Linked DNA regions of Astyanax mexicanus. The protein of the gene in region 1 binds, or shares a complex with, the protein of each later gene. Links are inferred from orthologs where the notes say so. Each region holds a gene or a part of one and is shown on either strand. Other genes may lie near its edges.

Evidence for each region.
Region 2: armc7 (region 1) and cript share a complex: the UniProt entries of both Homo sapiens proteins name them as parts of the minor spliceosome. The link is inferred for Astyanax mexicanus from reciprocal best matches to the Homo sapiens genes ARMC7 and CRIPT.
Region 3: armc7 (region 1) and gpkow share a complex: the UniProt entries of both Homo sapiens proteins name them as parts of the minor spliceosome. The link is inferred for Astyanax mexicanus from reciprocal best matches to the Homo sapiens genes ARMC7 and GPKOW.
Region 4: armc7 (region 1) and rbm48 share a complex: the UniProt entries of both Homo sapiens proteins name them as parts of the minor spliceosome. The link is inferred for Astyanax mexicanus from reciprocal best matches to the Homo sapiens genes ARMC7 and RBM48.

What each region holds. Positions count from the first base shown.
Region 1 is NC_064422.1:33,672,991-33,680,358, reverse strand, and holds the start of armc7 (armadillo repeat-containing protein 7), read left to right. Parts: upstream 1-4,353; 5' UTR 4,354-4,602; intron 4,603-7,368. UniProt on the Homo sapiens protein: As a component of the minor spliceosome, involved in the splicing of U12-type introns in pre-mRNAs.
Region 2 is NC_064422.1:39,625,857-39,633,442, reverse strand, and holds the start of cript (cysteine-rich PDZ-binding protein), read left to right. Parts: upstream 1-4,583; 5' UTR 4,584-4,699; coding exon 4,700-4,715; intron 4,716-5,723; coding exon 5,724-5,789; intron 5,790-5,915; coding exon 5,916-5,970; intron 5,971-6,085; coding exon 6,086-6,189; intron 6,190-7,479; coding exon 7,480-7,544; 3' UTR 7,545-7,586. Other genes in the region: pigf (phosphatidylinositol-glycan biosynthesis class F protein), read right to left, coding at 320-436, 1,913-2,004, 2,111-2,338. UniProt on the Homo sapiens protein: As a component of the minor spliceosome, involved in the splicing of U12-type introns in pre-mRNAs. Involved in the cytoskeletal anchoring of DLG4 in excitatory synapses.
Region 3 is NC_064419.1:20,705,443-20,713,040, reverse strand, and holds the start of gpkow (G-patch domain and KOW motifs-containing protein), read right to left. Parts: upstream 3,013-7,598; 5' UTR 2,985-3,012; coding exon 2,803-2,984; intron 2,283-2,802; coding exon 2,110-2,282; intron 1,433-2,109; coding exon 1,293-1,432; intron 1-1,292. Other genes in the region: membrane-associated guanylate kinase, WW and PDZ domain-containing protein 3, read left to right, coding at 5,714-5,796. UniProt on the Homo sapiens protein: RNA-binding protein involved in pre-mRNA splicing. As a component of the minor spliceosome, involved in the splicing of U12-type introns in pre-mRNAs.
Region 4 is NC_064410.1:48,089,882-48,097,827, forward strand, and holds rbm48 (RNA-binding protein 48), read left to right. Parts: upstream 1-4,940; 5' UTR 4,941-4,974; coding exon 4,975-5,097; intron 5,098-5,880; coding exon 5,881-6,071; intron 6,072-6,517; coding exon 6,518-6,663; intron 6,664-6,753; coding exon 6,754-7,355; intron 7,356-7,445; coding exon 7,446-7,505; 3' UTR 7,506-7,606; coding exon of another isoform or gene 7,607-7,642; 3' UTR 7,643-7,678; downstream 7,679-7,946. Other genes in the region: pex1 (peroxisome biogenesis factor 1), read right to left, coding at 596-715, 1,327-2,027, 2,111-2,225, 3,047-3,130, 3,239-3,379, 3,489-3,596; efcab1 (calaxin), read right to left, coding at 7,607-7,642, 7,844-7,946. UniProt on the Homo sapiens protein: As a component of the minor spliceosome, involved in the splicing of U12-type introns in pre-mRNAs.

The DNA.
Region 1 (7,368 bases):
TTGCACATCAGACGACTCTGATTAACCTTCTTAACATCTTTACCAATTTAGTTATGCTAAGATTTTGATAAATTAGTGGAAATTGTTTCTGCGGATCCCAGCTAGTATTTAAATATCAAAATATAGAATTTTGTATAATACGAATGTGTTTGTTTGTGCTATTTTTGGCCACTTTGTGCATTCATTATTTTTTTTTAAACATTGGATAGTGTTTTAAAAAGTTAATGTTAAATAAGAGGTTTAAAAGGTTGTATTGTTAGAAAAATGAATCACTAAATATCATCTCAACAGGTTTTATCAAAATTATTATTATTTTTTTTTAAAAGAGCTATTCAGATTATTTACATCAATAAATTATTATTAAACCCAATCGCAGAATTTATTTGCTTTTCAATGGAAAATCAATGAGAATCTGTCCCAAAAAGTTTTGCCTAAATCTATTTTGAAAGTAGGTGTTTAGTCAATCCTAAAAATGTGTTATTCACTACCTTTCAGCAGAGGGCAGTGTAGACATTTCTTTAAATTTCCTTTCTCAACATGTTCATTCCATTGCCATAACAGCTGACATGTTTCACATAACAAGCAGAAACAAAGACACATTTGTTCTATTTATCACACAGCTTTTTTAAATTTCTCACATTTGTTTCAAAGAAACTATCACGCTGGCTTATAACAGTACAGTCATGTGCCTTTTCACTGGACAACACAAGACTGCACAGACAGGAAGTGACATGCCTTACTGCAAAAGCACAGAGATTAAAATCTGCGCCTCACTATCAACAGAACAAGCATAATGACTTCCACAGAGAACACTGGGTGTGTTGTGTGCTGGTTAACAGCAATTATTCCCTGCATGTCAACTGATATTAATAGGTGTTTAATACGTTTATTGCTAAGTGTTGCAGTACAACGCTACACAATAAAACACATTTCACATAAAGAGTTGATTTCTTTATTTTAAAAACATACAAACATTTCCATTTTCTCACTAATGTGAACATTTACATTCATCTTTCACTGAAAATGTTCAGCTTTTGCTCAAAACACTTTCATGTATATTTTAGATTTTTACTTGTAGATATTCTTACAGAAATTAAATGTAAGCAGTATTCTGATTTTGTACACTGTAATCCCATTATTGGGCAGATAATAGGCAGAGGAAATGCACTTCAAAAGAAGCATTCATCATGGAACACACTATAACACTTATCTTTATTGTGAGTTAATGTTTTACACTGAGAGAGAAAATGCATCTTATTTAAGCTTATATATTAAACAAATTAGGAACTCACATAACCAACAGTAATACAGTTTGTTTTTGTTCGCCTGTCTTGGGAATCTTCAGATCTTCAATCCTGTGATTACACTTCAGTAGTGAGGAGGTGTCCAGAGTCAAATTGAGCTTCCAGTCCACAGAAAATTGAAGGTCCTTCTGTTGACTTCTTTTTTTATTCCTAATTCACCATTTTTCTTTATAGCTGTCATAAATTTTTCAGTTCATCACAAAACTTAAACTCCTAACCCCCGTCAGTGTCACTCTGATTACCTTTGCCTGGAGGTGTGTGATAAGCTCACCTGTCCCCAGCACTTTTCTTTGACTCCAGCTCTTCCATTTGTTTCTGTCTTCTTTCTAACACTTCTAAAAGTTTGGCATCAGTGCGAGCTCGCTCCTGCTCCCGAATTTCTGCCAGGTCTTCAAAGAACAAATGCCTTCAGAAAAAAGGTGAGGATTAGTCCAAAGCAGTTTCTTAATTCTGGTCCTGGATGCAACATGCCCTTTACATTTCCCAGTTGTAATATACCAACTGCTTGTTAATTTACTGATGGACAGTGGTGTCCAAAGTACACAAATCACATACTCTAGTTAAAGTACAGGTACCCAAAGTAAAAGTAAAAGTCCTAATTTTCTCTGCTTGAGTAAAAGTACACAAGTATTTGCCTTTAAATGTTCTTAAATGTTAAAAGGAACCGTATGATGATCTATTATGGCTCTATTGTACTGTTACTGTTTGTCTAACAATTGGTATCTGCAGGTATTGGCAAATACAATGTAAGACTTTTTAATACCACTAAGAAACAACATCTAAACCACTTTTGTACCAAATGATTAAAGCACACTACACCTTCAATTTCAATCAAACATAAACTAACAGGTTTACAAAATGAAAATAAGAGATATCCAACTGATTTTTTGTTAAATTTACACTATGCCTACAGTACTCTCAAATTAGAAACATTTTAAGACCAATTAGCAAAATAAATTGAAAAACCTTTCAATTTCAATTTCAGTTTTAAGGATCTACAAATACCCTGTAACAAGGCTCTAATGTAAAAGACCCTACTGTCACTTTTGGTTCACCCATCGTTTATCAGAAAGTCTGTCACTGATGTCTATTAAATTATTACAATTATTTTATGAAAAGGATGATACATAAAAGTACTTTAGTACAGCAATTAATTAAATTTATTTTGTTACCATCACTAGTTGCAGAAGGGAATCAAGCAATAAATTTGCAGGGCAAGGCCAAGTTTAAGAAACACTGGTCCAAAGGTTGCAGAAACAACAATTTGGTAGTTATGGGTCACACATGGTTCAATAACATAATATAACAATAACTGAAGAGGCATGGCTCTTCTAAAAGCAAAAAAAAATCCAGCTCAATGTTCTTTTCTGTGTGACCAACTGGTTTTGAGTTCGTTTTTAAATGTTATAATATAAATACACTTTACCATACCTTTAAATAAGACATATAGGTATTGGAATTGTAAGAGCTACTTTACAGAATTGCATACTAATTGTTTATGTTAGAAGTAACCGCAATGAAGAACTATGTAGAATGTGTAGTTCTCTATAAATTTAAAATAATGTTTAAAAACAGGATGGTGAACACATATATTTAACTGATGAATGAACTGTTTATAGAGCTTTGGAAAAAATATATGAGAATAACCACTTCAAAATTATGAGTTTCTTTGATTTTACCAAACGGAACACCTCTGGAATATAATCAAGGGGAAGATGGATGATCCCAAGCCATCAAACCAAGCTCTAGGAGTGGAATAAAGTTATCCAAAGCAGTGTGTAAGACTGGTGGAGGAGAACATGCCAAGATGAAAACTGAGATTAAAAACCAGGGTTATTCCACCAAATATTGATTTATGAACTCTTTAATCTTTATGAATATAAACTTTGCATTATTTGAGGTCTGAAAGCTCTGCATCTTTTTTGATATTTCATCAATTTCTCATTTTCTGTAAATAAATGCTCTAAATTACAATATTTTTATTTGGAATTTGGGAGAAATGTCCGTAGTTTATAGAATAAAACAACAATGTTCATTTAATTCAAAATGTACTCAAACATAGTCTAAAGCCTATTCCTATACAGTCTGTATTGATTTGTTTAAATGCAAGTTATTTTTCTTTATTTTCTATTTTAACCCTTATGTATGTGTGTATATGTTTTGCACAACCAAAATAAACTAAACTAAGCTAAACTAACAACTAAACTACATGCATTTAGTATTTTGGTAGATTTATAATGATAATAATAACAACAACAACTTCAGAAAAGGAATATAATAATAATAAATACAGAAGGACTACAAATTGATTAACTACATGATTTACAGATGTTTATAATACATTTCTGAGAACAGTAATAGACAGTGTGAGGTATAATAATAATACAGATAATACAGGTGTGGCTGCATGACTTTAACATTTAAGCTATTTATTTAACTTACCTGTTATAGAACGCTGTTGCAAGTCCTGTGAGTAAAGCGCCGAACAGCAGCGGCTTGGCCAGACGCTTTTTTGCTGATAAAGTGTACTGCTTCATGCTGGAATATAAAGCTGGAATATCCATAAAGAGAAAAGAGAGAGAAAACAGTGAATAAAGCTGTTAAATAATAAACTGTATTTTCTGCATAGACTCAGAGCTCTGACCTCCAGACATGCACCAAAACACGTAACGTTAGCTACACGCCCCCACTTCCTCCGGCCAGCAGTTTATAAAGCGTGATTCTCAAATATCTACTTGGATTTTTCATTTACTGCCACTTTAATATACATTTAAAAATTATAATAAAAGTACAATAACCCAAATTAATCGTTGTAGCCTCGAGTGAAACGTAAAAGTAGGTTTCAAAATATTTACGACAAAGTCAATGTTTGAGAGGAACTACAAAACATTGCTGAATTATCCAGGGGGAAGATCCAGAGAGGTGAACCCCGGCTCAGTCTCAAATGGCGCAGTGATCCCTATCTAGTGCACCTATCTAGAAACGTTTAAATGAGAAAGCCATTCAATACACTCTCAGATAGTGCACTAGAGAACCAGTCGCGTCCTATTTGGGACTGAAGCAAAGAAACATGGCGTGTTACTTGTGACTGCTAGCTTGGTTGACTAGCCAGCTAATATTTAGCAATCTGTATTAAATCACAATGATATAGTTATCTAGAGACATCATATTTAACTACATCCACCCAGCAAGTCCTCCGCTAAGTAGCTAAGCTAGTTAACTAGAGTTTTTAAGCGTGTTTTCTTTTTCTAAAGTAGCCTAGTAGTAGTGAATTTGCTTGCAATCTAATGTTTATTAGGTAAGTGTCATGTTTTTTTTTTTTTTGCCTTTTACCCTACTAAGGTCCCTTAATGTTAAATAATTAGCAATATCTTCATTTCAAAGTAATTAAATGAAGCAATGTTTTGTTAAATGGGGTTATATAATAATAATAATAATTATTATTATTATTATTTATGTACATATTTATATTATATATTGTTGTAGAAAAGAAAATGTGAGGTGGGCTACCCCCACCTCTCGTCCAGGGTACAACTCCCTGCGTGTTCGTTTGATAGAGAGAGTCAGACAGTGGAGTGAAGTTGAAAGCAAACCAAGTATTTATTACAAACTGAATATTCAGGAGAACTAACACATGAAAGACCGTCTAACAGCCACCCAGCATAAGTTCTGACCCCCCTCCTGATCTGACTCCACGTTTATACCCCAAAATGACGTAAGCCTGTTGATGAGGCGTTACTAACGATTAGCTCATGTTAATATGCATAATTTCACGTGTTAGTACTCAAGTTTCACGTGTCTGACCGGACCACTAATGTTTGACCTTGACTGTATTCTTCCATCCTGGCACTATCTGTGTGTGTGCGTCACCCCCCGCTTTGAAGTAGAGGTTTTTTAGGGAGGCACTCACTCATCCAAAGGCTGCTTTGATCTAATAGCCTTTTTTGTAGCAATTTAGCCCCGTACCAGCCGAATTAATGACCGTTAGTTAGGGTCCTGCAGTAAACAAAATACTTCAAGCCTGAGCTACATCTCATATGTTATATGTTAATGTGGGTTAATCTGTCATATAATAGAGTCTGTGTTAGTCACATGCCTGATCAAACAATGTTTTACTATATATGTAAAGAATATACTGTGATTATTGGATAATCTTTTATATAAATGCGTGTAAAATACACTGTGAGTAAAAATGATCAAATATAATGTGAGTATTGGTTAATGCATATAAAATACAAGGTTTCACACGATGATTATGTAATTTTAGATACTAAGATAAGTAATCATGATTGTGAGATATGTGTCAATACATTCAAGGTAAAACAGGGTTTCTTCGTAAGATTTCCCACAATTCCCCCTTTCGACGTATCAAACAGATACGTCGACAAACCGTAATTCCTCCAATCATGTATTTACATATGTTCAACCCTTGATCAACATGTGAGTGAACATTTTACTAACGGTGGGAGCGAAAACCTGTTCTGGCAGCCTTCCAACCAATTTTTGACAGGAAAAATTCTCCCACGGTCCCTCTGCCACCAGGCGACCAACAATTCGAACTCTATCAAAGGAGGAAGTGACATCATTGCAATAAAGTCATCCCCAAGACTGGTTGGTTTCCAGCATTTCCTCCAGCTCTTCCTCACACTCCAGTATAGGTCGGTTTATCTGTAGCTCTAACTTTGATCCATCCCACAGGGTCATTACCACTTACATCCACCCGGACCCCTATGAAAAATGATTTTTCCCCATTAGGATCAGATTGCCACTCTAATGCAATGGTTATCAGATTATTTATCGGACCATTATCCCTTTGTATGTTAATACTATTCCAGTTCTCCCGCTCACGAGTCGCCCAGCGTTCGCTTGGATCCCAATTAACATGCATTGACCTAATTACGGTTTCCCACTTGTTACAAGGTCTGGCCTTGTAAGCTGTTTGGTCGGTGTTATGAGTGATTCTCATGAAGCTGCAGGGAACATGTCCATGACAATTTTTTTTTAAATCAGTACTTAATTCACAAAAACTCCGATATTGTGTGTAAAGCAAATAGGTAGTACTGTATGGATCAATTGTTCATATAAAATTATTTTTATATAAATTAAATAAAAAATATATGGAAATTCACATTACCGTTATGTGTCCGTACCCCTTCTTTCTAATTTTAAGTTAAACCATATTAAAAGTACTAAGCATATCGAATCAATAAAATAGATTAAAGTCATTTAAAATATCACCATTTATACATAATATAAATATTTTTGGTGTTGAACAAAAAATGTACTTGATTTTAAACAAAATAACGGTGTCCGAACAATTTTTCTCATTACCGTTTCATGATTTTACCCCCTTAAAAAAATTACACTGTGCCTTGAAATTGATCAGCTATCCCATGATGCATCACGTCAGAGACAAGCTTCAAAATGGAGATAAGATCAGTTGGTCACTATTCTCTCCCTTTGAGAAATCTGTGTTAATATTACTAAAACTGTCCTCAATTACACTGTGTATTATCATTACCGTTATGGTTTAATACTCATTACTTTTAAAAATATAAAAATAAATTATTTCATGAATATTATCACAATATAAGGCTTTTACAGCTGGCAAAGTTATAGGTTGTTAGCATATTAGCATTTTAAGTTATGTGTGAAATTAGCCAAGAGCATCTCATTACCATTTAATTGTGTTCTCATTACCGTTATGGATCTAAAATGTTAATTTCTCAAAAGTTTCACATCTTATCATAACTTTTCTTCATTTTACTATAGTATACCCCTCACCTGTTGTCCCCATGAGTTTTTGATCAAACATATTCTAAAATAATTTTCATTAATTAAAAAATTAAAAGATATTTTACAAATGTTGTATCGGTAATGAGAGTTGCTTAACTATAAATAAATAAATAAAAAGATCAAAGTAAGTGTCAAGGACTGTGCTGTTAAGTTGATGGGATTTTGTTGTGGAACTATTAATCAAAAATTAATCATCAAAAAATGTTTTGAACCGGTTGATCTAGCTTCGTCATTTACTGTAACGGTAATGAGAATTATTCTGGATCAT
Region 2 (7,586 bases), about 6.0 Mb from region 1:
TGAAGACCAGCACATGCCTCCTCCAACACATGTGAAGTCAGACTTCACCTCTTTTAGAACTGCTGCTGATGCAGCATTGCCGAGGAGCATCCCAGCGCTCTCAGAGGAAAGCGCAGCGACTCTGTTCTGATACATCAGCTCACAGACGCAGCCTTATGCTGATCAACATCACCCTAGAAGTGATGTGGAAAAAGAGCACCATCAGCACTTTCAGACTGCTGGACCAGTTGGAGCCCCTTATGGTGTGTATACACACTCTACTCACTCTCCTATATATACAACAGTACTGATCAGACAGATCCTAAAGTCCAGCACTCACCCATCCCTACTGAACACTCGTATCCACGCCTGCACGTTCGGCCCGAGGACACACAGACACCTCAGTGTGGTGAAAGTAGAGAGCAGCACAGCCAGTGAAAACGTCTCCAGCGCTGACCTTTACAATTACATAACAAGGACAACACAGCAGTGTGTTAAATATATGTAACTATTATATCACAATATTTAATTAACAATAAACTTAAGGATACAGGACAAAAAAAATCAGTTTAAAGCAGATGAATCTAGGGATGTTAGCAAGGACTCTGTCTTTACTCTTTAATTACAATAAATATATTACAATATTTCGCCTCCTTACGACTCAGGAATACTACTGAATCTGCTTTCAATTAATTAAAAAAATCTTAAGGACTGCTGTTTAAATACACACTTTTCTTCAAAATGTGCTGTACTTCTTATTGAACAGCACTAATTACATCTACATTTAGTTTAGTTAGTCTTAGTTAATGTTATTCAAGCATTAATAAAAAAACAAATTGATATGCTTAGAGAATAAATTTACATTTACATTTAGGGTATTTAGCAGACGCCCTGATCTAGAGTGACTTACAAAAGTGCTTTGTTGTTTACTTCAAAATATCCATAGATAGTTCGTAGAGACAAGGATCAGGAGATACAGCAAGCTTTGATAATGTTTAGAACTCTAGCAGAATTTTATTGTATATGTATATAAAAAAATGATCAAATCAAATTAAATCAAATGTATTATTTGTATAGGGCTTTTTACAACTGATGTCATCACAAAGCAGCTTTCCAGAAATGTGATCACAGGACAGAGTATCAGGCAGAGTATCAGCTTTTAAATAAAATATATACAGCTCTGGAAAAAATTAAGAGACCACTTTAGTTTCTGAATCAGTTTCTCTGATTTTGCTATTTATAGGTTTATGTTTGAGTAAAATGAACATTGTTGTTTTATTCTATAAACTACAGACAACATTTCTCCCAAATTTCAAATAAAAATATGGTCATTCAGAGGATGTATTTGCATTAAATGAGAAATGGCTGAAATGCCAAAAAAAAAGCAGAGCTTTCAGACCTCAAATAATGCGAAAAAAAAAAAAAGTTCATATTCATAAAGTTCAGAAATCAATATTTGGTGGAATAACCCTGGTTTTTAATCACAGTTTTCATCATGCATCTTGGCATCATGTTCTCCTCCACCAGTCTTACACACTGCTTTTGGATAAATGTATGCCTTTACTCCTGGTGCAAAAATTCAAGCAGTTCAGTTTGGTTTGATGGCTTGTGATCACCCATCTTCCTCTTGATTTATATTCCATGGGTTTTCAATTTGGTAAAATCAAAGAAACTTATAATTTTTAAGTGGTCTCTTATTTTTTCCACAGATGTATATATTATATTATGTTTAATATAATTAATCCCAATAACAAATGTAACTATACACAATAAAATAATGCCATATTGCCCAGCTCAACTAAATGCATGGGAAAATATGATACGGAACATCTTATGTAAACTCTAACAGCCTGAGGTCTATGTTTTGGTTTAACAGCCTAATTTACATACTGCGATCTACACAACAAAAGCCTTATTTACACATAATACTCACTCCAGCAGCGGCGCTCCGTACAGAACAATCACCGTGTGGAAGAAGAGACACGACAGCAGCAAATACACACAGGATCTGATCAGCTTAGACAACTGAAGTAATAAAAAAAGAAGAAAAGAAATGTTATAAATAAAGTATCAGATCAACATATCATCCAATGAGTTGTGTGGATTATTTATTTATTATTTAATTTACTACCTTATAACTCAGTGTGTTCTTCTTTGTTGGTGGACTGATGCCCAGAAGCCAAAACACTGCGATGTTGACCACAGCAACAGAGCCAGCAACAGAATACAGCCAGATTAGGTGCGTCCCGTACACGGAGAACTTCTCCACCAGAACGGCCGGCATCACTGTGGCCATAAAGATGGAGGCGGCGATGATGGCGTGGGCCGAAGCCATCCCCCTGATCTCCACGTCCCACATTATTCAGGATATTCTTATTGAGCTATGTAAAAAGAAAAAAAGCATAAATTCAAAAGTGTTATTGATTAAAATGCACAAAATGTGTTTTATTATACAAGTTACAGAATTTGGAAATCCGCAGTAGGGGTGGGCAATATTGCCCTAAACTAATATCAACATTTAAATTTTCTTAGCGAATATAACAAAAGATTTAAAAAGAAAAAAAAACATTTTATCTGTTTCGTAAACAGTAACTTACCAAAACCTTGATTTCGTGTCAAACATTAATACTACCACAATTGTGCAGCATTTTAGTGCATGTATATAAACAAATAATTACAAGTAAATTCAGTAAATAGCAAAACAAATTTAAAAAAAGTCAAAAATATTGCTATCCCAATACAGTGTTTTTTATAGTCTTAAAATAGTTAGAAATATTAATCCACAAATATGGCACAACTGATGCTCTCAAACACAGTAAGAGGCAAATAATTAAAGTAATTAACTCTTGATGAGTTCAGTACAGCTGTTAACTGAAAGCCTGAATTCCAGGTGACTCTACCTCATAAAACTGACTAAGAAAATCCAGCCAAGATATTCAAAGCTGTCATCTAAGCAAGAGGAGCTACTTTGAAAAATCTAAAATAGGAAACATATTCTGGTTTATTTGACTCTTTTTGTTTACTACATATTTACATATGTTTTTCTTCATAGGTTAAGTGACTTTAATATTAATCTAAAATGCAGACATTTTTAAATAAAGAAAAACTACTCAATTTAAGGTATGTCCAAAATGTCCACTTCTACTGTATGTATACAAATTAAATTAAATTAATATTAAACATATTGTGACACAGGTACATGGGTAATTTAATGGCTTTAATATTGCTAAATAAAAAGGTGCAATTAAAGAACGCAATAAATAAGTTGTACAAAAACATTTTAAAACGGTGTGCGGTATGTATACAGTAAACGTGATGTATAATTTATACATACATACATACATAATACATACATTTAAAATATTAAAATCATCAATAAATAAAATAAAATTCAAACTTGCTCTTAGTATCGAACATTGATGCAGAAATGAACATAGAAACCTAATAATTGTAACACTATACTGTACGAACCAATATGAATCAGAAGAATACACAATGGTTCGTACAAAAAGACACAGTAATTAATAAATAAGCTGTAAAATATATAATATTAAATTAAAATATTATGCATACAGTGGAATTAGATTAGATAACCCAGATGTAGGAACAGCAGTCAGTACTTACTGATACAGGTTTTCTCCAGACTTCTGCTCTTCTGAGGCTCGCTGTGTTTTTATTACTGCATTTGATAAAACTAACCTAAAACTAACATCAACGTAGAACATGAAATATTAAACTATGAGCTTTAGTTTAATGGTTCAGGATGTTTCTATAGAGAGGAACGACATGACCGACTGAATTAACTACAGCGAATATCCGGCAACACCGAGCAGTCTATCAGCGGGACACAACAAGGTTAAAGCCCCACTCTGTCAAAATAAAAGTCTCAAATATTCTCATTATATTCTGTAATAGTTTACTATTATAATGTTCTACTAATTCAATAAATATTTATTTTTAATATTATAATGATAATAATTCATATTTACTGTATACGTCTAACATTATAACGACAATTACGATTAATGTACATTTTAAGCATTATAATGATAATTAAATTGCCTAAAAAGCATGTTTCTAATAAAATAATAACAAAAAATATTACTGTCTGTTTTTAACATTACACTGACAAATAAGATTACTAAAAATCATGTATGTTCTTTCTTGAATTGTATTGAATATTAATTATAATACTATCACTTTAAACATCTGATTTGGCAGCGTATTTATTTTATGAAACCAACGTGCACACAACAATAGTGCTATATAATATATCGAAAATTCACAAATATACACAGTTTAAAAAAAAAACAATTACATTTTTAAATTTGTCACATATTTCAATGAATAGTGTAGATGTAATTTGCCGTTTTATAAATAAATAAGCATGTAAATAATTAAAAGAAGAAAAAATATATAATATTAAATAAAATGAGAAAATATTAAGGATTTTAATTAAAATTAACGAAATCAAATTAGTAATTTTTAAGAATAGTATAAATATAATTTGATCTGTAAAAAATAATAACAAAAAAATAAAATAAATATAAATTTAATTTGTTATCGTTCTTCTGTGAACGTTAAGCTGGGACTTTTATTGTAAAGTTAAGGACTTTTATTGTAAAGTAAACGGTTGCTGTATTCTGGAGCTGCGCAGTGTGAGCAGTTACAGCTGCTGTTTACGGGTTTTAGATTGAGGATTGTGTTTAACGGCAGCAGGATGGTCTGTGATAAATGTGAGTAGTTTTATATATGTAATAAGACCGTATATTAATTATAATTCAGTAATTTAAGGTGATTAAATCGGTGAATTTCGGGTTACAGCTGAAAGTGTCCCGTTGTTTCCTGGTGTTGTTTAGACTGTTAGCTAGAGTTAGTGTTAGCATTCCGGCCCAGATAACCCTTCACTGTTATAACCTGCGTTTACTGTAATAATTTTAGTTTACCTAGTCAAATAAACGGTTCATCTTCTTAAATTACTTACCTACACATCATATTTCACTATATATACAGATAAACTGTTTAGTGAAACTTATATTAGCTTTAGTTTAACTGTAAACACTAAACACAACACAATATAAATTATTTAGTCTGTTTTGGGTGCCCTTCTTTCTGTTATCTAATCTAGCGTAGTTTAACTTAGCATAGCCAGTTTATATAATAAATTAATTATTATATATATATATATATATATATATATATATATATATATATATATATATATATATATATATATATATATATTATATAGATGTATCACACACAGTGATCTATTTTAAGCGTTTATTTCTTTTATTGTTCATGATTATGGCTTACAACCAATAAAAACCTCAAAATCAGTGTCTCAGAAGATTAGAATATTACATAACTAGTGCAGAAAATGAAATCTGCATCTCCATCAAAGTTGTCAGCAGAGGGAAGCATGAAGTGCTGTAAGAATTTAGACTTGATAATAAAACACAGTGGATCAACACCAGCAGATGACATGTCTCTCCAAACCATCACTGATTGGTGGAAACTTCACACTAGACCTTAATCAGCTTTGAGACTGTGTGACTCTCCACTCTTTCTCCAGATTCTGCTCTCTTGATTTACAAATGAAATGTAAAATTTACTGATGATCAGTGATGGTTTGGAGGGACATGTCATCTGCTGCTGTTGATCCACTGTGTTCTATGAAGTCTAAAATCAGTGCAACTTTTGTAGAGAGGTTTTAATTTTCTTATTATTCGTTTTCTTCCCAGGTGAGAAGAAGCTTGGTAAGGTTATCACTCCAGATACCTGGAAGGATGGTGCACGAAATACAACAGGTACAGCCTGCTTAATAAAACATTATTCAAAATGTTATTTTTTTTATTCTCTGCTTATAGTTAATACATTAGTAGATCTTTGACAAGTAAAAACAGCCACAATATAACTAATATGTTTGTTTACAGAGAGTGGTGGACGGAAACTTAATGAAAATAAAATGCTGACCTCAAAAAAAGCCAGGTATGACTATTACTTTTATTTTTATTATGTCTAATTTATTAGTTTATTTATTTGATTACTAATTTAAACCATTGATTACATTAAAGTAAGCATTTGCTTGTATTTCCTCTGTTAGGTTTGATCCCTATGGAAAGTCTGGTTTCGCCACCTGCAGAATATGTAAAAGCTCTGTCCACCAGGCTGGATCTCATTACTGCCAGGGATGTGCTTACAAGAAAGGTAAGTTTAGGAGCAACATGTCACTGAATGTTTCAGACATGCTAAGTGGAGTAGGGATATTTAATTATTTTTGTTGATTACAGTTAGGCCTGTCACGATAACAATGTTTTGTGAATGATATGTTGGCCCAGAAACTATTGCGATAAACGATATTGTTGGCATTTTAAGACCATTAAATGGCACTTATATAATAACATAATATCATAACAAAGGAATTACACCCTTTTAAAGACTATACACATTGCGAAGTGTTCAGGCAGGGGAAGCGTAGGTCCCACCCCACACTATGATGTGCAGCCTCAGTTTGTCCCAGCTGGCCCACATTGGACCGGCATTAAGATCCTGCCTGAGAGATATGCTGATGGTGAGAGGAAGGCTGAGGCAACATGAACCTAAGAAACACTAAAGTCAAGTGACTACAGCCGCACTGGGCCGTTACTATATGTTTCTTCATGTTGGTTTGGGTGTTGATGGAGGGCATTTTTCCTAATGAAGGTACGTTTTGAGTTCATCCACTCCCTGTGTCTGTGACTCTCTGTGCTTCCGCAGTACCCCGCGTCACGGTGTCACAATATATGTGCATTTCGTAAGTGCAAACAATATGGACGATATAACGATTATTAAATTGACTAAGGCCATGTATATTTATTGAACGATAAGTCGATAATGTAATTACTGTGACAGGCCTAATTACAGTCAATATTATACATACATTCTTTTTATTGATTTTACTATACATTTCTGCCTTAAACCTTAATACTAGTTTCTCAAGTGTAGAGAAAGAGAGGGAGAGAGACTGCACAAGTGAGCGAGAGACAGACAGACAGAGCAAGGTAGACAGCGCAAAGGAGAGCAAGCGAGAGGGAGAGACAGCGCAAGTGCCTAAGACATTTCAGCACAGTGGCGGTGTGTGGACAATTTGAAAGATCTGCATTTCTCTCCGCTCTGCATTTGGTGCGTTTATGAGTGTTTCATTCAAAATGATCAAGAACAGACCTTTTTTTTTTTTTTAAACCATTTGATTCTTGGTAGTACCAAGACATTTTGGTCGGTGCCTTTTTGGCATCGAATTTCAACACCCAATCGTAGTTTACATGAGGTTACATGTTTTCTGTGAGGTTTTATTCCCATCTGAAATGGCGTATGTTTTTTTTTTTCGTCTGTCCTTTCTATGAAAATTTTAGGTAGAATTATCTGCAGATTTTTTCACAGAAGTGTCATTTTGCAAACCACTGCAATAAATCATAAGGCTGTGATTGTTTGTGTAAACAATGTTTTTATTTGTTACAGGGATCTGTGCCATGTGCGGGAAGAAGGTTCTGGACACCAAGAACTACAAACAGACCTCAGTGTGATTGGAATTCTGTTTCATAGACAGACAGTTCATAATGTTGGGA
Region 3 (7,598 bases), on another chromosome or scaffold:
TAGAGCAGGGAAATGTGTGGTCCTCCACGAACGAGAACCACTGGGCCAAGATTTCCTAAATGCAGTCCATCATACTGCTCTTACTCAGCCAGATTTTTTTTTACATAAAAGCAGACACAAAAACTAGCCAAGGTCTAGTTTAGCTGATTCCTGCATTACACACTGACCCAAATACTTCTGTTAACCATTAATGCTATGTTTTTTTTTTATAAAATAATGAATGCTAATTCAGAAACTGTTACAGTGAAGTTAATTATTATTTTTTATACCGCATTTTGTGAACTATAAGGCGCACTTAAAATCCTTTAATTTTCCCAGAAATCGTCAGTGCTCCTTTTAATCCAGTGCACCTTGTGTGTAGATTTTAAGGTTGTAAGGAGCAGTAAAGCCACTCCGCCGTATTGCAGTATTATTCAGAAGTTTTAGTTTAGTTTTAGTTTCAGTCCAGCATCTGGACTGAAGTAGCAGTAGCATTAGCTGCTTCCCGCTATTTCCCCGTTTAAAGGCCTGTACCCTGCTACTAACCCCAGCTAGCACTGCTGTTATAGCCGCTAATGCTAATGCTCCAGCCTTAGTCCTGGAGAAATTTTGGGAAGCTAAGCTAACTGTTGAAAGCGATTTACTCAGCCAAATAAACAGTTTTTAGATTGAAATTTGACTTTTTATATTTAAATAGTGTTGTTTACTTAGTTTAGCTTTACTTACCTTAGTAAGCTACCCTATAGGTTCCTTATATTGTATCTTAAAATATGCCTTATAATACAGTGTGCCTTATAATCTGCTGTACCTTATAGTGTGAAAAATACTGTAATTTATTTAAAAAATTTAGCCCATTTTTCTCATCAATTTAGATAGCCAATTATCCAATCCCTGTACATGTAACTCCTCCCGTCACTAGCAATGCCCCCAACACTAAAAAGCATAGACTTGCAAATGCCTCCTCCAACACATCCAAAGCATCACTGGCTATCCAGCAAGCTCTGAGGAAAGTTCAACGATCCAGCTCTGATCCAACAGCTACCTACCAACACCAGATTAAGGGTAATGTAAGGGAGAGCCATATACCAACCCAGAGAGAGCAAGGTCAATTGTGCTTTCTTGGACAGTGGCTGCTGATGGCAAGCAGTAAGATCTGGTATTCGACCCGAATTCAAATCCTTGTGGCAGCACCTTATTCTTCTATGACAATAGCTTGACGAGATGTGACAAACCGAGCCCCCTGTGAGCAGGTTTAAATGATTTAGACAATTAGTCCAGTTTTTATTAACTACTTTCCGCCACTCCCGACTCACCGACTCAGGTCTGAGATCCACTTTGATTTGATCGCCGTCCTCAAAGCCCTCAGGGACCTGATTCTGCATGAGCAGAGGGATTGTGAGGTTTGGGTCAATCTGAGTGCCATTTTTCCACCTCTCCTGTTGCTTCTGAGACTCTGTGGGACGAAAAAAAATTACAGGAATGTGTGGGTCAGTGCTGATATGATGCTGTTTGATTTTGTTAACATAGAGTAAGAGTCAAACATTTGGTCATACGTCATTTTTCCTCAATGTGTTTTCTTTCTTTTTACGATTTTTACACTGCAGATGACATGGCTCTCCAAACCATCTTTGACCATCAGTAAATTTTACATTTAATTTGGAAATCAAGAGACCAAAGTCTGGAGGAAGAGCGGAGAGACACACAGTCCAATCTGCTGGAGGTCTAGCGGGACGTTTCCACAATCAGTTATGGATGTCATCTGCTGGTGTGGGTCTACTGTTATATTAAGTCCAAAGTCAGTGCAGTGTTTTCCTAGAAAGTCTTTATGCTTCCCTCTGCTGACATTTTACAGCAGGACTTGGTATACTGCCCACACTGCCAAAAGTACCAATTGGTCTTATATAATATTCTAATTTTCTGAGATATTGATTTTTGGGTCTTCATTGGCTGTAAGCCATAATCATCAACAACAAATGAAATAAATGCTTAAACATATATATATTAGAAGAGTTTACTAAAATAAAAGTACCTTTTTAATGATATTCTATTTTGTTTTAGATGCACTAGTATGGTTACAACTCCAATGCATAAAATAGCAAAGAAAACAAACTAACAAGAGCATAAACACACCTTCAATAAGCTCTTTGACAGCCTGAGACTCCACAGAGTCCTGGTTCTCAGATGCAGAGATGTCTTTGTTGGGTCCTTTGTCATTCTTTTTTCCTCCTCCTTCTTCTCGGTACCAGCGGTTCTTCTGGATAAGTGGAATAATCAACTCTGATGGTTTCTCCACTGGCGTCGTTCTACACAAGATTTTATATCAAACATTTAGTAACATCTACAAACTTCACACAAAGCACTGTAGGTTAAATCACACAAAAAAAGTCACACAAAATAATGTAGGTTAAAATGTAGGTTACTGGAGGTTTCCAACCCTGGTTTAGGAAGACCTTCTGCCCAGCAGGTTAGCTAGTGGTTTTAAGGACTAACAATCTTTAAATGATGAACACCTTGGTAACTGACTTTAGTACCTAGCTGGATTAGATACTTTGGAAACAAGGTAAACACCGAAACGTGCATGTATGGGGGTCCTCCATTACCTGGTCTAGGAAACTCTGGTCTAAACGACAGCAATCTACAAAAAAGCTGAACGTTTTTTTTGTAAGACGCACCAGTTAAGTCGGCTTTACTATGTTTGGTAAACCCGTTTAGCTGAGTATTAGCATCAGAATCAGCAGAGCTGGAGTTATTAGCACCTGGCTAACCGGCACTATATGCTCCAGTCAGTTAGCATTAACCAGTTAGCTTATAGCATTAACCTACCCTTTCAGCTCCTTTCCATCCACCTCCACCACATAATCTCTCTCCACGGGCTTCTCAGACTTAATCTTAGTGAGAGTTTTACTAAACCCAAAAGAAATAGGGCCCGCTTTCCTTTCTCCGCTCTCTATATTTACAGGGACCGCATTAGCCTCCGCTTCTCGTTGCCTCTCCGGCGAAGCCATGTTTGATGTGTGGGTGTGCGCGCAAGTGATGCTGGGAAATGTAGTTTTAGTTTAGTATGTCGTTCTGATGCGTGGGAAAAAAAACAATTGTGGGAATTAAAAAGACTGAAAACCATGGAAGGCCATTCCAGCCACCTAAAATAAAAAAATCCAGGACATTTTCTCTTTTATTTCAAAGTTGAACTAAAGTTTAAAAGAAAAAGAAACAAATCCCAAAATACAATGTATGTCCCGTGCCTAACCCCGATACATATAGAATACATAATAATACAGACGAATTATACATTTAAATATAGCAAAAATATAGATGTGTGTGACAGTCGCTGTTGACATTTTAAAATGCCTACATTTGTTAAACATTAAATGTTGGATATCTTTTCCAAATGGCAGTATTTAAATTTGCTTTAGGAACATGTAGTCAAATAATACTAAAGCCCAATATTATAAAGAGAAGAAAAACACCAAAGAAATCCAAGTATGTTCATTTTGGACATTTTTGCTTTTTATGATAAATAGACCAACTGAGTTTTTGTTTGACATTCAACTGAAGAAATGCTAAATTAATATGATAAATGGCAATAACACAGGAAACAAACAGTTACAACATTGACTGAGCTTAAAGGTGCCACAGAACAGAAAACTGTATTTTGCCATAGTTAAATATTAAAGGTTTGTTACACACCATGATTCTTAGAAATGAACATCAAACAAAATATCTGCACAATTCCCAAACCCTTAACATTTCCTCACACTCAAAATTGACATACAATAGTGTTTAGTCCAGGATTACAACACAGTTAATAATTTCTCATTTTTATTATTTTGATGGTTAGTTTTCTGACACAGCCATCTTCCACACTGTGGCGGGGAAGGGACATTAAGAGAGGTGTAAAAGAGTAAAAACACAAAATTGTAAGTTTGCTAGGCTAAAACCTAAACTTAGCCCGACAGCCCCATTCCAAACAATGTAATTTAGTTGCTTCATACACATGATTGGGGGCCCGTGTGCACATTTGTGTTCACTCTTGGGCCACTAGTTCTAAATACCGGGAGATTTTATCTGACTTGCAGGCATCAGGGAGCCGTTATTGATATGTGGTAGACTCCCGCAACTTCCGGGAGACTTGAGCTTAAATCTTGAGTAATGCTTAAAACACTTTAAAACACTAAAACATGCATTCTAAGGCACGTTTTATAAACTATGAGATGCAAGATCTAAATCGTTATTTATTACGATTAATTAGTGTATTGTTGTGTTGTATTAATGCTTGTCAATAACAGTAAACAGTAAATGTGAGTGTGATCTGTTTCTGAGTAAGGCAGAATGATGTATATATGCATAAATATTCTCTGATTTATGTATAGGTAGATTTGTGTAGAAACAAATACAGGTGCTGAGGATTCATAAATTTAAGATCATACGTGACAGAAAACAGAGTGAATCAGAGAGTGATTCAGAGCCCATACTGTGTGACTCGGGAACACCTGAAACCTGCTGATCCTGATTCAGGTGTTTGGTTTGGCCAAATTGTCCACTTTTGCCTTAAGCCAAGAGAGCATTGCTGATATGCTTTACGCTCACCGCGTTTTTTTCACTTTCATACATTTGCCTTGTATTTACAGCTTTGTTTCTGTGCAGCTCAGCAATTTCAATGAAACTGCTAAAGTACCTGACGCGTTGTTACACTATAGGGGCGGATCTTCTACCTTATTACTTCTTTTCCCTCCCCTCCACCCCTCTGCTCTCTGCCTCTACCGGTATCGCTTCTTGATCCTGACTACTGTTTTGGGTCCTGAGGGATATTCCACTATGCGACTGTGAGCTCAGCCTTTTCTTTTTTTGTATTGAACACCGGGAGGGTCGCAGCATGCCGCGGCTACACCGGAGCTGTGAGACCCTTCGGACGTCCCCGACACGGTTTCCCGAGTTTCACAGCCTCAACACCTCGCCGCTTCAGGCTACAGCTAACCGAGCTGCGTCCTCGGGCGCCGGGAGGATCATGTAAGCGTCCCGTGTCCTCAGAGGAGACGGAGCGGTGAGAGTGGAGAGTTAAATAAGGCCAGTTTCAGCCCCGGGGGACAGACTGACAGCATGCTGAGGAGGGAGCAAGACCTGAAGGTAAGACTGAAGGCTGAGCCGGACGGGGGTCAGTGACAGTGTAACAATGTGTGTGACAGTGTGTGTGTGTGTCTGACAGTGTGAAAGAGTGCGAAAGTCGGTCGATGAAGATGTGGTTGAGGACAGGAGGGTACCGGCGGGCTGCTGCTGTGTTTAAAGCTCAGTATAGGATTTATCTTCGAGTGTTTCTGATAGCGTGTATCGCTGCCCACCACTGCCACCCTGCCCCTCTCTCTCTCTCTCTCTCTCTCTCTCTCTCTCTCTCTCTCTCTTTCTGTTTGTCGGAGAGTCTGGAGCGTTTAAACGCTTTTTTTCTGCTGTCAGATCACTCTGACGGTCTCGTGCTCAGCTGGCCAGCGTCCCTCGCGCATCTCGCTCTCCGCACGCGCTCGCTCGCGCGCACTCACTCTCTCACTGACACGCAGCGCGAGCGAGCGACCGACCGCTCACTTCTATGGCGGTTAAAAGTTATCCACGGTCGTTTCCAGCAGACCGCCGCTGACCAGCCTTTTGTAGCGAAGACTTCTCGTGATTTTTAGGCGTTTTCTTCGACACAAACCCGATTTTCCCCCTTTTTGACCGCTTAGGGGTCAAGTCTAGTTCGGGGTCGATGTATATAGACGCGTTTAAACGGGCTCTTTTTCAACGGCTGAGCTGCCTGAGGAGAATGTGTGTGTGCCAGAGGCCATGCAGGTGAGTTTTAATTTAAATACTGGTACTACGTGAGGGTGTGTGTGTGTGTGTGTCTGTGTGTGAGAGGGAGAGAGAGAGAGAAAGTGAATGTGTGTGTGTGAGAGTGGTAGATGGTAGTGGTAGCTAGGTTAGTTAAGATATATGATCTAAACGGCAAAATTACAACTTTCTACACTTTTCTCTCAGAATAAAGTGACTCAAATACACCGAATTATGCTAACAAGTTATTATAGTTATTAGCTCATGTTTTATCGAATTATAGTTATTTGTGCTATTACTGGACACAGGTATTCAAATGAAAATAAATTTTACATTAATTACAACCTTCACAGCTAAGTTATAAGCTGTATTAAAAACAACTAGATTTAGTTTGTCTAGTTTAGGCACTACCAGTTCATTGATCCAACACCAATGTTGTAATTGTAATAATTATCTCTGCGTACCGAAGAGTGGAGTAAAATGAATACTACTAGGCAGATATAATCTACCTCTACCTCTGATATCATGGAAAACAGAGCAGCATGTCCTTGTGTATTAAACAAGCTTTATGTTCAGATCGTCCTGACATCCTGTGATGTGAGTATTGAGCATGTACACATGTTGATGCTAAAGCGATACACAGCTCTGGAAGAAAATAAGAGACCACGTAAAAATTCTGAGTTTCTCTCATTTTACCAAATTGAAGACCTCCGGAATATAATCAAGAGAAAGATGGATGGATCACAAGCCATCAAACCAAGCTAAACTGGACATTCTGTTGTGTTGTATCATTCCTCTCTAGTCAGTACAAACTTACATTTTTGCACCAGGTGTGGCATAAAGTTATCCAAAAGCAGTGTGTAAGACTGGTGGAGGAGAACATGCCAAGATATATAAAAACTTGTGATTAAAAAGAAAAGGTTATTCCACCAAATATTGATTTCTGGACTATAAAAACTTTGTAAACATTAACTTGTTATCTTTGCATTATTTAAGGTCTGAAAGCTCTGCATCTTTTTTATCATTTCAGCCATTTCTTATTTTCTGCAAATACATGCTTTACTTGACAATCATTTTATTTGGGAAAAATGTTGTCCACAGTTTATAGAATAAAACAACAATGTTCATTTTAGTCAACCATATACCTATATTAGTTTCAGAGAAACTAATTCAGAAACTGAAGTGGTCTCTTGATTTTATCTAGAGCTGTATATTTAATGTACTACCAGGTCACTGATCCAACACCAATATTGTAATTGTAATAATGCCCTCTGTGTATCGAAGCGGTTATTCATCAGTTTACTAGCTATATCTCACATACAATACTTGTGAATGCAGTGGTCTGGTAATGGTGATGTAGTGTGATGTGAAGTATAGGGGTGTGTGCTTTAGAACACAGCCATTGGTTTTAGTTTTAAGCTATGATTGGGATTAAATTAATATGAGGCATTTGATTACTTCTCTATTGCACAGGTACTCCTCTGAGTTTTTTCCCTTATCCTCTGAGAAAATTACAGGCCCAGTTTCAATCTCTGCTGTGATCAGAAGACTTTCAAAGACTTTCACTGAAAGCTACCCTGATGTACTCTTTTAAAAACAAATCTGTACTTGCTTTTCTTAGTGTGCATTTAACTGACTAGAGAAAATGAAGTACTCATTTTACTGAATGCTGATTAAACTGTATGAAATGAATCAAGAGGGCAGGCCATATTTCTTCCCATTTATCTCAATATTGAAAGAGAGAAGGAGAGAAAGTACACACCCTGAGCGAATTGGCTTGAAGATAGAAGATTATAATGCAGTATTGAACTTTCATAATGTTT
Region 4 (7,946 bases), on another chromosome or scaffold:
TGTACACGTAACCATGACAAGGACAACGGGCCGCACGTGATGCCAGCCAGCGTGAGGGGAGCAACAGTAACTGGATAACTAGTTATGTTTCCAGAATTTGCAGCTGGTAAGCTTGTTTTTTCTAACAGCGTTAAAATTATGGCGGACTCCATAACAACCTAATTCACAGTTTCTTTTTAAAGAAGGGTAGAGACGAAGAACTTACGTCCTCAATGTCTTTGAACATTCTGAGGCAAGTGAGCTGGATGCCAGTCCCACCGCCCATGACTAGGAAGCAGTGGATAAAAGTGAGGAGTGATGTTCAGCTTTATAAACTTCCTTCGTGCAGCACATGTACATGCGCAATATTTACTTTCGGACTGGAGATCTAATCGGGTACATGTGTTTACAAGGCTATTTTTTGTTCTATTTAATGGATTATTTAAAGGATTATCCACCTCGTTCAATCAAATAGAAATTGCATTCAGAATGACCTTTACACGTTTACACGCACGTGTTCTACTCTGATTCAGCTATTAGTCCGACTATTAACAGTTTATTATAAATGAACTGCGTTTGTCTGATATTTCAAGTTAAGAGAGAAAGATACACTTACTAGTGTTCGTAGTGGCTGAAGTAAGACAGCCTGTGCAACTGCAGGGGTGCACGTTAGAGGACGAACTCTCACGGCAGAATGCAGGCCTATGCTCAGCCTTGATCGTAAAATGTTTGGGATCTGTGAAGAGAATAGAATAAAAAAATAAATGTATTATTTTTTACATTTTTATTTATTCATCATTGCACTGATTTGTGGTCAAATAAAGTTGTTATGCTGCTTCTTTAATTGCAATGTATCTACAGAGTACCAAATGATTTCCACACAAAGGATCCCACAATCTTTTTTGAAATTTAACAAAAAAGGTAACTTATGTAGCAGTTGTGATATTATAAAGATTATGATTATGTATAATTTCCAAAAATAATTTAGAATAAATAAAATCACAACATATTGCCCAGCCCTATGTCATATGAAATCTAAAAACATGTGCACTGTTACTTTCCTAGTACACAAGTCCAATTGCTGTCCAATAAAAAAACATATATCATAAAAACAACAACTTAAATGGGAAAAATAAAAAATTTCTTTCAATGGACGTAAATGTAAAAACAAAAAAAAAAGTTTATTTCAGCTAATTTTGGGAAATTTCTATTGGCCCATTCATCCAGAATTTTTGACAAGGCACACGGGGATAAATGTTTTTCATTAGATACTTAAGATTAGGTTTTTATAACAAATGTTTTAGACTAATTCTAGAAAAGTAAAGTGTATCAGTGTATAACACTTACCCACACCTTCCCACAGTAAATCTCTCTCATTCCTGAGGATCTTTGGTCTGCTTCCAGCTTTTCTGTGTTATGGCAAAGGATCTTGACCACCACAGACTCCTCCACTGGTTCCTGTGCTTCCTTTTTAGGTTGAGAGCTATTTCCACTCTTTTTCTTCTCCATCGCTTGCTTGGCTTGCTCTCTCACTTCTTTGGGAGAATGAATTTTAGAAACTCTACCATACGTTAACACTGGCTGTTGTGTACTCCAATAGTCATACTGTATTTGGTCCCATGGCAGCATGTGAACATCTCCATGATTTGGGTCAAGATGTCTGATTGCTCCGGGTGGGGTTCCACACACTCTCAGGACACAATCTGGGAAGACTGCGGGGACAGTGGGCACTTCTGGAATCTCCTTGGCGGGCTCATATTTCCCTGTGAACACATATCTCACCAGGCTCTGCAGGTCAGGTACTCCAGCCCAGTGTCTCTGACTGGGCTCCGGCTGATTGTGAATGGACTCAGAGAAAGAATCAGTTCCTGTGGAGGAAGGTGTGGAGGAGGATCCACGGTCTATGTTCTGCTGCCTCTGCAAGACCGGGTTCTTTGTATCTGGAGAAACTGGGGCAAGCTGCCTGCCTCCATGCCGGAGTTTGGGGGAAACAACCAGCTCAGTGAACTGCTCTAATCGACCATACGGAACAGATGGAGACAGGGAGACTACAAGAACAAGAGGTACAGCAATTTACAGACAGAACTGAGGATTTTAAAGAAGTATTTAATAAAAAGTGTTTGAAACAGACCTATCCTGATGTAGATGACAGTGTGTTGGTCAACCCACACAGGAAACACCCCAGAACAGAAAACGACTCGAATCTGGTCTAAAAGGTGCTGTTCCAGAGCTGTGCTGTGAAGCTCCTGGAAAACAAAGGCATTAGGTGTCATCAGTAAAGGGCAGTAATGAAGTAAATGTAATTAGTTGCTGTATATAAGTATTTTTTTGTTATGTGTGTATATAAACATGGCTGAATAATTTTAATTTTAACTCCACTAAAAGTAAACTTTAATATCTAACTTTTTTACTTTATAACATTATCCAAAACGTGTTGTTCCTTTTGGTTTAGGTGTGTAAGAAAAAGGGAACATGTCAAAACAAAAAAACATGAAGTGAGCAAACCAATATGGTTACAGCAGTGACTTATTTTTAAATATGTTCTGACCTGTTGTACTGTATGCTACCCTGTGCAAGCATAGTGCATCAGTGCAACAGTGGAATTTATAGAATATACAGATACATAACAGCAAAGAAAAAACAGTCTAAAAAGTTGTATTCAACTTAAACATGTAACTAAGTTGTAATTAAATCTTGGGGTGTTTTCACACCTAAAAGTTTGGACCAGAGTCTGCACTGAGGTTTGTGCCTTTGTTACATTTTGTACATTGGGTCCGGTTAGTTTTGGTTTCACACAGCAGTTTAGTAAGCAATAAAAGCACCCTTAAACTAAAACTTGGTCCCAACCTGGGAAGTTAATCCAATTAATTTGATTAACTGAATCTTACTGTTTAATTAAATTTTCAAAATGGGACAATGAAGATCGTACACCTTTACATATAGAAGCTGCCAGAGTGAATACAAAACAGAGATGGTTCTGATTAACCTACTCTCCTATTCTAAGAGTCAGCCTATCAGTTTTTAGTGTGGGTGGGCAGTGTTTTTTTATTTGGTGAATGAGACTCACCAGGATCTCCCAGTCATCTGAGGACAGAGGCTCTACAAACACCTGCTGCACAGACTGTACCTGACTACATGGACGCAGGAAGCCCTGAAAAACATCAAAAACAAAAATAAAAAAACAAAATAAAAAGCAAATCACATCAACTTAAATTACAGTTAACTGTAATACAGACATTTATCCAACTCCAGAGTTTACCTGTTCTCCTTCCTGAACTCCCAGTTTCTCCCCTAACTGTCTGTTCAGCTCAACCCTGTCCTCCTGACCTGCTGCGTGGCTTCTTATCCAGCTGAGGAACACTGGAGCAGATGATCCCCAGGACAGCTCCAGGGCCTGTGACTGCATATGACAATAAAAACAGGACAGTTAGACTAGACTAGACTGCACCCCAAGTTAATAAAGCAGGAGCAGCGTAGCCATACTATCACACACCCACTCTCACACACACCTCTCTGAGGGAGAGCTGAGACACTAAGTTGGATGGCAGGTGGAGAAAGCAGTTTTTGGAGTTGTTGAAGGCCAGAGTTACTGGCTGGATTCCGCAGTTCCCCAACATTGCATAAAGAGGAGCTTTAAAGCCTCTTTTAGCGCTGAAAGACTGTATAAATCAGCACTAGTGTTCAGGACCTGCTGCACTACAGAGGATCAGGCGCCATGCTGAACATGTCAATACTGTCAGACAGACCTGACCAATCCATCCACCAGCGTGCGATCATCACTACAATGTATATGAAGCTCAGTATGCCCTAACAAATAATAAACATTTAAACATATTTTCACATTTTAATATTTATTTATATTTGAAATATTGTTTTTAAATGGTCACAAATAATCAAAATAAATTAGGGAAGGTATATGTATATTTAAATGAACTAAAAATGTTACATTTAAAGATTTTTAAATTAAATATCATTTTTAAAAATGTGTTAGCATGTATCTTACAGAATTTAACAGGTCCTGTCATTAGAAAATGAATGTGACATGAAGGTGATATAGTTTAAAAGATCAATCTGCCCACACAAATAATAAATATTAAAAATATATGTTTACATTTTTATATTTTTTTATACATTAAATATTTTTTATTTATACATTTATATTTTTATCATAAAAATAATACAAATAAAATTGAAAGGGTATATGTTTATATTGTTAATAAAATATTCATACATGTAGGACATTTAAATTATTAAAAATATTAAAGGTTAAAATAGATTTTTTTTCTTACCATTTCACAAATGCATTAGCATGTATATTACATGATTTAATAGGTTTTTGTCATTAAAACAATGATTATCTAGGTAATGATAGTTTTAAATGTCTCTCTGCACATTCAGAATACAGAAACATTCAGAATATATTTAAGGCAAAAGTGTGGGAAACATACATCACAAAATATATTTCTTAATTTTGGTTGACACGCTACAATTCTGATATCAATATGAAAAGTATAAATTTGGGTTTCCACCCATGCTGTACATATTCACACACTGATAAATATTTTACACAATATTTAAAGACATTTTCACAATGCACAGTATTCAGACAGTATTTAGTATTTATTTAAATGTATCAGCAGTAGCATATTCTGCTATTAAATGCTCTTTCACAATGTTTTGTACAGTGATTATTAATTAAATCACTCTCTGTAATAAAATGTATGATTGGGTCAGTGTTCTTTAAGTAATGATGATACATCCTCGATTTCTCATGATACGATATTATATATATTGTACTATATTTTAGTACAAAAATATATACTATTGTCTATTTTTGTATTTATTAAAATTTTTATTTAACATTTTTTATTACATGATTACAGTTTATTTCAGTATGTGTTTCTCGCTGAACGTGGATCACTATCTGTGATTGATTATTCGGGTCTGGGTCTGTGTTTAGTTCTGCGCTGTTGTCGGGGACGCTGGGTAATCATCATGGCGGCTCTGAAGCCGGGCTCTGTGTGGGACACACCGCAGGTCTACAAACACCACGAGCAGCAGAGCGCCTGTCTCACCCGCCCGAAGTACAGAGAAGGGAGGAGACTGAAGGCTGTGAAGGTCAGTGAGCTGTTTTTACTGAAACTCCGTACTGAGAGGAGAATAACGGGCCTACAGCCCCAGTGTTTAGACTGCTAGCCTAGCTTAAGTTAGCTGTTTGGCTACACGAGCCTCCCTGTCATCACTGAATCTCCCCAAATCTATAGTTAGTTAACAGAAAGATAGACAATACATAATATATAATGAAGTATATATTATCTGTATACTGAATTATATAGCTACAGTACCAGTAAAACGTTTAAACAAACCTTCTCATTCAATGTTTTTTCTTTATTCGTTTATTTATTTGTCTTTTCTACATTCTAAATTAATATAGATCAAAACAATTAAGGGACACGTAGAATTAATCAGAAGTAATCAGAGAAACAAATATTGATTTCTGAACTCTTAAAACTTTATGAATATGAACTTGTTTTCTTTGCATTATTTGAGGTCTGAAAGCTCTGCTTCTTTTTTGTTATTTCAGCCATTTCTCATTTTCTGCAAATAAATGCTTTACATGACAGTATTATTTGGAATTATAGTTTATAGAATAAAACACTAATGTTCATTTTACTCAAACATATAACTATAAATAGCAAAATCGGAGAAACTGATTCAGAAACTGAAGTGGTCTCAATTTTTTTCCAGAGGTGTATATATAGGGACAGTTTCCCAGACAAAGAAGTCTAATCTTGGGCCGCATATATTTGTGAATGGAAATGTTCCACAATAAAGCAAAACAGTCTACGGCTCGGCTTAATCCTGACTGTATCCTGTATCTTCTGCTTTGTCAATCTGTAGGTTTATACGATTAACCTAGAGTCTCGGTTTCTGCTGGTGCAAGGAGTGCCTGCTGTTGGGGTAATGACTGAGCTGGTGCAGCTCTTTGCTCTCTATGGAGTGGTGGAAGAATACAGAGTACTGGATGAGTATCCTGCAGAACAGTTCACTGAAGTTTATCTTATCAAGTTCCAAAAGCTTACAAGTGCAAGGTGAGAATAAAACCTCAAACATGGAAAGATGTAAATCATACAGTAGATAGCATGGTTAGATTAAAATTGTCACTTGTGTTTTATTTAAAATAAGAATAATTTAGCATTTTTCTTAAACCCTGTAATGTGCATGTATTTTACTTAGGCTAAATAGTTTCATTGAATGTTGCCATTAAACCATATGCCAAACCATATTAAAATAAAATTTAAAAAACACATCCCCATTATACATCATAGATAGGATAGTATTTCGAAGTAGTATGACCGTTCTATTGACACACTCTCCTTGGTTTAGACATGCCTCTTAAGATGTTATCAAATGGACATTGTATACACATGTCCTCCTTGGTTAAGACATGCCTCTTAAGATGTATCATGCATGTTTTCAAGCACATTTTAAGATATCCCAAGATCTGTTGATAGCTGAGTAATTTTGTCTGTTTCAGGGCTGCCAAAAGAAAAACAGATGAAAGAAGCTTCTATGGGGGTCTGCTTCATGTTTGCTATGCCCCTGAACATGAGACTGTGGAAGACACAAGAAGGAAGTTACAGGACAGGAGAAGATATGTTTACAGAACAACCCAAAGATTAGGTATTTTGTACGCTTGCATCACACACATTTTTGTTTCTGCAATCCATGTAATTAACCAGTTTGTCTGGTTGTACTGCACCTTTATTACAGAAAGGGAATGTGAGCAAGAACAGGCTACAGAGAAAACAACTCCTGCCAGTTCAGAGACACCAGCTCCATCATCAGTGTATGAAGATAGGACATGTCCTCGAAGTTCCCAAGAGGACAATTGTAGTTCCAGCACATCTTCTAGCTTTCCATTATTGCCGCTACCACCTCATGAAAGAGTTCATCAGCACTATTTTTCATCTAAGGACTCATTTAAGTCTGTGAAGACTGTACATGAAGGCAGTGTACCTACAGAAGATAGAATGGGATCTTTACACAACTTCATCCCTAGTAACCGTGCCCCAGATGATTGCAAGCAGACCACACAGTGGTCAGACCTGCCTTCTGGTTCTACCTTTGGCAACGAAGAGAGAAGTATTATCAAAAAACCCAAACATCCGCCAAGCACTGCACCAAGGTTTATACCAAGGACTGCACAATTAGAAAACAGGAAAAGGAAAATGGAGGACAGTACAGACTTGTTAGGTGTGGCAGACAGAAATGCCCCCTTGTATGGACCCAAACTACCAGAACTACCAAAGATGGACATGGAAGATGCATCATTAAACAAAACGGCAAACATCATCAGGCAAACAATGTCAAAGGTCAGCATTATAAGTATTTTTTTTTACTGTTATGAATGTTATAGAATAGTTAAAACGTATGTCTGAAATTGTCTCTCTTTTTCTTTTTAGGTTGCATCAGTTCCATCTGAAAAGAAGACAACAGCTGTAAAAGCACGGCGAAGAATATAATTTTCTCTTGTCTTCAGTGTGCATTTTTTATTGATGTACTGTAATAGTGGTTTATTGTAAAATAGCACTGTTCATTTTTCTTTATATGAGTGATTCACTTGTTACTGGAAAGCATGTTGCTCAAATTCCAGGGTCCTCTGAAAACAAACAAAAATACACATTTATTTATTAAATTGTATTTTTCTATAAATGTCAAAATAAAAAAAATCTGAAGACAGACAACTGTCATTTTAAGTATTATTACAGTAAGATGGATGGTATAGTAAGAATATTAAATTATTAAAACAATAATGACACTCATGCAGAACATTGCAAAACGTAAAATTTAACAATTTTACCTTTGCATCAGGAAGACAAGTTCCGAAAGCTTCTAATAGCAGATTTTCCTCTCTTACAGACTTCTCAAAATCACTATATGAAAGTCTGCTGTCATGGTCATAA